Linked DNA regions of Caenorhabditis elegans. The protein of the gene in region 1 interacts with the protein of each later gene in a biochemical or structural test. Each region holds a gene or a part of one and is shown on either strand. Other genes may lie near its edges.

Evidence for each region.
Region 2: the proteins of npr-37 (region 1) and nlp-17 interact in a test that uses a peptide from one of them, tested with the Caenorhabditis elegans proteins (one large-scale study listed by BioGRID).

Annotation. Positions count from the first base shown.
Region 1 is NC_003282.8:479,361-483,290, reverse strand, and holds the start of npr-37 (G_PROTEIN_RECEP_F1_2 domain-containing protein), read left to right. Parts: upstream 1-2,123; 5' UTR 2,124-2,137; coding exon 2,138-2,209; intron 2,210-3,930.
Region 2 is NC_003282.8:13,504,696-13,507,998, reverse strand, and holds nlp-17 (Neuropeptide-Like Protein), read left to right. Parts: upstream 1-2,256; 5' UTR 2,257-2,288; coding exon 2,289-2,368; intron 2,369-2,427; coding exon 2,428-2,599; 3' UTR 2,600-2,729; downstream 2,730-3,303. Other genes in the region: seld-1 (putative selenide, water dikinase), read right to left, coding at 1-445, 1,044-1,297, 1,740-1,920.

The DNA.
Region 1 (3,930 bases):
TTATTTTTTAAATCGTATGTTTTTTTGTTGAAAAAAAAAAGGAAAAATAAAATGTTTAAATTTTTTAAATAAAAACTAGATCAATAACTTAACTTTGGAAATACTTGAAAAATTAGAATAAAAAAATGTTGTTTTTTAAAGGTAAACACGAAAGTTCCCCCTCCATGCCTACAAGGCGACCTACGCCTGCCGAACGGTAGGAAGGCAGGAAGGTAGGCAAATTGGAGACCTGTCTGTGTTTGCCCTTTTAGCATATTGAAAGCTGAACAACTTGCTTTAAAATCAAAAGAAAGGTGAACTGCCTGCCTTGTACCTGCACACCTACCTACGCCTACCTACTAAAATTAATGTGAACTATTTAAAAAATATTTTGAATGTTGTTATTCACCTAATTTAAGCTTATACAAGTTAATTGAAACGCAGCTCAAAACCATTACAGTTCACCAAAAAATTATTTTAAAAAAATAGGCGGTAGGCAGGTATGAAGGCACAAAGCAGGAAGCTTATTTTTCAGCATTAGAAAAAGTTTTAAAATCACTGATTGCCCATCATGCAGGCACAAACATAAATGTCTACCAACCTTCAAACTACGCCAAGTTGTAGGCAGGTAAACAGGCACGTAGGCACTTACTCGGCATTTACCTGCAGCATTTAAAGCAAATTCGTGAAGAATGTTTTCTGTTGTGATTAAATTTGAATTTAACTTTTTAAAATCAATTTTTGATAGCTAAAAGTTTTTATTCTCCGATCATTTAATCAAAATTTCGAACTACTCGAAAAGCTTTTCTGAAATACTGACCCCTCGAGAATTTACTTGATACTTGATACTTGATAGAATGTTCAGTATTTTGGGTTCTGAAGAAAAATGGTATCAATGAAAAACTGAATTTCATCAATTATGATTTAACACTATCGAATACAGAACTGACTGCTTAAACCCATGAGAATGGCTACGCGTAAGTAGAAAAAACGGTTTGCAATATTAATATTGAAATTAATAAAATATTCTTGCGCGACCATCATGGCTCAACAGGTAAGAGATCAGCAAACCGGGAAATACGATCGGAGTTCAACACACAGGTGAATCTTGGGCTAAACTTGGGCAAGACTTGGGCTGAGTGAAAGTGGGCTACGCAGCGGTTGACTTTTTCCTTTTATGACGCATCGCCCAAGTTTGGCCCAAGTTTGGCCAGCTTCTAATCCAAGTTAATTTTTCTTGAGCAAAACTTGGATTATAAGCTATGAAACATGGACAAAAAGCTGGCGGCGAATGCCGAGTAGGTCTACTATAGTGGTGTGCGGCAAATTTGCCGAATTTGCCAAACTTGGTACATTGGTGACCTACAGTCTTTCTGAATTACTCTGTGTCCCTCCCTGTTTTTGTGTGTCAGTGCCTTGACGCTGGGCGGTAGAGCAAAGGTGGGAAACCTGTAGGTCGATATGTACCAAGTAACAGACATAGATCACACAATAGATGGACATCTTTATACCACACAGCTTGTAGTCTATAGTACAATCTATATCTATCACTTGGTACATTGCAACCTACAGTCCTTCCGCTTATCTCCGCTTCTCGGCGGCTGGGACTAGAATTACACACAGAAAGACGGAGCGATGCATAGCAAAGCAAAAAAACTGTAGGTTGTTATGTATCAAATTAGAAATATGGATCGGACTATAGATAAGCAACAGGGGTGTGCGGCAAATTTGCCGATTTTGCCGGAAATTTTGAGATTTGCCGCGCACCCTTGGTCTACTACCCTATTTTTCAAAGAATAAAAAACGTTCTCTAAACTTTGCACGAACTGCGTTCGAGAATTTCCTTATTCATTTTTCTACCATTTTTCCTAGTTCAGAACACCCTTAAACTGATAAACTTGCACTTTTTCCAACAATCTATTTATCCAATTGTCTCCATGTGTGCATGACTTTGATTTGTTTTCCTATCCTTCCCCATCACTTTTTTGCTCTCAATCAACTTTTTGCTTCCGTTATTTCATTTTTCAATTTTCTTCACATCCCCTCACCATCTTCCATATTTTTTGCATTTTATATGCCTATCGAAATGGTTTTTTTCTAGTTTAATTGCTTATTTTTAAGTCTAAAAATTCATATTTTTGCAGCAGATCCACAAAAAATGAGGGACCGATTCTCGATAGGTCAAGCCATTGCAAATGCAATTGCCAAACGACAAATGCAAACTAGTGAGGTGAGATGATTTGTTTTTCAGATTTTTATCAGTCGTTATCAAAGTTAAAAACTGATTATTTATGCTCCTCAAACCTCTAAATTTCACAGTTTTTAACTTTAATTCACTGTTGTTTTCACTGTATTTGTCAGTCAAAACAAATCACTCGTGAGTTAGTACTAGCTGAAGTCTTTCAGCTGGCCTCGCTTGGGCATTTTTTTTCAAATTGTAGATAGACTGTAATAAATTTATAAAATTTTTCTAAAGTTGTATGATTCTTTCAACTTTGCAAAAAAAATTTAAAAAGTTAAAAACAAATTGAATTCCCGCTAAGGTGAAATTTTTTCTATTTCCGAAATATAATTAGTGTTTGAAAATTGTCAAAAATGTCCGTCAATCGGCAACTTCGGAAATTGCCAAAATTGCCGATTGCCGAAAGTTTCCAAAACCGGCAATTGCCGAAATTGCCGATTGCCGAAAGTTTCCAAAACCGGCAATTTCCGGATGTGCCGATTTCCGCGCACCCAATCAGCCACTACGTGATAAATGGTGAATTTTTTGAAACAAATTCTGAGTTTTTTCATTGAGAAAATTAAATCCGACTTTTTTTCTAATTGTGCATATGTTTTTTTCTAAGTGAACGATTGATTTTGGAATTTCTTCGTATATTTCTGCTCAAACATCTCCTTTTTTATTTAAATGTGTCCCAGTTTTCCATAAACTCATTTCAAAATTGTATAGGCCTGCCTCCTTGCCTGCCTGCCTTCAAAACATTTTACCTTTATTTTTTGAAATTTGAACCTGCTCCGGGCACCTTCTCCGGCCGTAGGAAAAAGTGGCAGGCAACATTTTTGTGACTACTTGGAAGGTCTATTTAAAACCCTATATTTTCTTGTACCTGACAAAGTTTATTCTTTGAATTTTTGTTGAAAAAAAAAACAGAAAACAAGGTGGAACTAGTTGAACAAAAACTGAAAATCACCCTCTCCTGACAGCTGACAAAGTAACACATCAAAACACTAAAAATAAAATCTTGGAAGTTTTCATTCAAGTTCAGTCTGTACTCTACGCGTTCTTTTTCTTTTCACTTTTTCAGACATGTGATTGACATCTTCTGTCTGTTCTTGTCACATTATATGCAAAAGGGAATGCATTTCCTGGTTTCTTTTCGAAAATTTGTTTTGTTGCAAAAGTTAATTTTTTTTTTGAGTTTTCCATAGTTCTTCAAATAGGATATAACACTTTAGGATCTTTAAAAAAATCCCATCATGAAAAAATTTTATTTAAAGAAATAATTTTTTTTTCGGACCCCTTTCTCAAGAGGTCCTTTTTTCCAAAATTTGCTAGACAGGAGATATAACGGGGCTCTCTTGTATAAACCTTCATATCGGAAATCTCCTTTGCCCTCCGAAAAGGTGACGCCAACCGTCAATTTAGAGCTACCCCGGATAAATGAGCTAAAACTCTGGAAATTATATCATAAGTCTGCAGCCGACAAAACCCAGTGTAGCGCAGACGCTTGCAGCAGTCAGTGGGGTGGCGAAGTAGAGGTGACGGGCGGTGGCACTCGCGCGCCCCGGATTTGTCGGCTGCAGCGGTGTGGTTTGAGTAGTTGAATAACTCGGGTCATTGGATTAAATTTTAGAAGTGTTTGCTATACTTTAAATAGTATGGATGGAGCTTTTCAGAAGTGTGAAAATAGCAAGCACTTCTTCTGCTCCCCGTGCGTAAATTTTGGAAAA
Region 2 (3,303 bases), about 13 Mb from region 1:
TATACTCAATGATTGGAAGCTTTTCGATAATAAACTCCATTGGCTGCTTTTGAACTCGCGCCAAATTCTCGGCGTGGCCTAGAAGTCCAAATCCAGTGACGTCAGTTGAAGAATGAGCATCGTATTTGTGAAGAAGCTTCGCCGCATTTCTATTCAAACGGCTCATTTGCTCGCAGACTTGTTTGAATGCTTTTTCGATTTTTGGAATTTCTAGATTGAGCTCTTCAATTTTTCCGTTCTTCTTTTTGATCCATTCGTACGAGTTCACGGCAACCTGGCCTCCAATTGGTTTAGTCAATATCAGAACATCTCCAGGAACTGCTTGATCTACTTTTATGATTTCTGATTCATGAGCAACTGAAGTGGCAACTCCGCCGAGCAGAAGCCAAGGACAACGGACTGTTTGGCCACCACGGATCTTTGTGCCTGCTTCGTCAGCTGCATCCTGGAATTTTTGAAGTTTTTCGTATTTGTTTTTGGCAGAAAATTTAATGCTCGAAACGTTTGAATTTAGGATTTTGTCGCCAAATACCCACGGGTTTCTGCACGGCCCGGCAAAGGGTACATCAGTGTAAACGCGCTCTACTGATAATTGCAGTTTAGCCAGGTTTGGGCGCGTTTTAAGGAAAAAAGCTTTGGTCCAAAAAATTTTGAATTTAATTTCGAACATTTTTTATATGCATCACAAAAAAACTGGACCAGTCGTTTTTGAGAAAAACGCGCCCAAACGTCCAGGTGTACGGTAGACAAATTGCGTACAGGTACCACTTCTCGGGCCGTGTTCTGGCTCGACCCCTCGGTGTATTTTGTGCAAACACCGTCACGCGCAAATGCATACACTATTTCAACGCGCTGCGTGAAAATTCCTCTTGCGATTTCAAATATTTTTTCCCGCCCTTTTGCAAAATTTTGGAGAGGGGGGTCTAGCCAGATACACGTGAATACCTAACGAGACCCAACTTTTTGGGGGTGGGATGTTTTGATCTATTTCAAATCGCGAATAATTTTTCTGCGTCTCCATAACAATCTCAACTGAAAACTACCTTGAATCCCTGAATAAACAACGGAACGACAATATCTCTCTGCTTCTCGTTCAAATCAATAGCCACTGCGAGCAGCATAAGCATATTATCACACTCGGAAACTCCCATTGCATACAAATCAGACAATACATTGGCACATGTTACACGTCCCATAATATATGGATCATCAATGAGTGGATAGAAGAAATCAGTGGTTTGTACGAGTCGAAGACCCGGATGACGGAGTGGAATTACGCAACTATCGAGACCAATGTCTGGAAGGGAATTTGAGTTTAAAAAAAAAATTATTTAAATAGAATAGAAGGCATTTCTGAATATCAGATATTATGGAAACACAAAATTCTGAGAATGCGTACTGCACAATATATTCGACGCGCAAAATATCTCGTAGCGGAAACTACATTAACTATTTAAATGACTACTGTAGCGCTTGTGTGTCGATTTACGGGCATTCATTCTAAAAATCGAGCCCGTGAATCGACACACAAGCGCTACAGTAGTTCATTTAAATAGTTACTGTAGTTTTCGCTACGAGATATTTTGTGCGTCAAATATGTTGTGCAGTACGCATTCTTGGAATTTTATGTTCCCGTAATAAATGTACATTCTGTTTTGATTTTCAAAGTTCAAAACGAAATTTGAATTTTTTCTGTTGGATGAGCTTCCTGTTTTGAGCAATTTTTCAATTAAACTCACCAACTTCATCATTATTAATGACTAAATCAGTTTTAAAAGTTTGGAGCAATTGAAGGAGCACATTCCTTGGAACTTTACACCCACAACCCTTCATTCCAGTCAACTTTGTGAGCACAAAATCTTCATCAAGTCCATTGCTCACCGGATCGAATCCCTCCAAAATTCTCTCGATTCGATTCATCTAAAATATATTTTCAAAACGATTTTCTGTGCAAAATTCCAAAAGGTGAACGATGAACGGAAAAAAAAACTTTGATGTTTCAAAAGTTTTCCTAATCTATATGTTTTTTCGCAGCCTATTATCTCAAAAACTTATTATTTATTTATTTATCTAGGTTATTACGGGAATGGATGAGGGGGTGACGTTTTTGAGTTTTTGAGTCGCACTTAATTAGAAAAGCTATATAATAACTCTAGATATAATTACTCGTCTCACTTAATAGCCTTGATAGCTCGCTATAATTGAAATATAAATAGTGAGATGAGCCATTTAAATCGACATTTCGAGACTTTTTTCTCGCGAAAAAGTCAGGCTTTTTCACAGAAAATATGTTCAGCAAGTCAATTCTCTTCTGCCTTTTGGTTTTGGTATTCAATGTTTTTGGAGCTAACTTTGAAAATGATCAGGAGTAAGTTTTACTTTTTTACGTGAAACTCGAGAATCTCTAATTTCCATTCTTTTTTTTAGTGTAATGCGTCCCCCATTCCAAGCCCTTAAACGTGGTAGTTTGTCAAACATGATGAGAATCGGAAAGCGACAAATGTCTCGACAACAGGAATACGTACAATTTCCAAATGAAGGTGTTGTGCCGTGTGAGAGCTGTAATTTGGGAACACTTATGAGAATTGGACGGAGATAAATGATAACGATTATTTGAATTTGAATTTGTTTAAATTTGCATTTCGTTTCGTTTTTCTCTCTCTTATAAACTGGTCCATTCTCTCGTTATTCATTATTTCTCAATCGTTTGATGAATGAATTCATTTGTTAAATTCTATTTTTAAGGGTGAATGATATTGCAGAATTTCTCACAGATAGCACGTGGTGCCAGGCTGCCTTGATCTACAAAAAATGCGGGAATTTTTCTTAGCCGTGCGACAACAGTTCGAAACTCTGCGTCTTGTTTCCCGCATTTTTTTTAGATCACACCGTAATGGGACACTCGGGGGAAAACGTTTTATTTAATCCCCGAAAAAAAAAATCATTTCTACAGTATTCAGAAATGTTGTTTTTTCTCATTTTTCGGGAATTTTTCCCATAAATTTCGAGCTTGATAATTGCCAAATTTCCAAAAATTTTCATTTGCCACACCACGTGGTGCCAGAGTGCCTTATTTCGCTTTGATCTACGTTGATCTACAAAAAATGCGGGAGAAGAGACGCAGAGTTCTCAACTGATTTCGCATGGTTAAGAAAGTGCTGACGTCACATTTTTTGGCAAAAAATTCCCGCATTTTTTGTAGATCAAACCGTAATGGGACAACCCGATTTTTTCGGTGGTTTCTTTTTTGAAAAATCGGAAAATTGAATTCTAAAAAGGGAATTTTTTGTTTATTTTAAAATA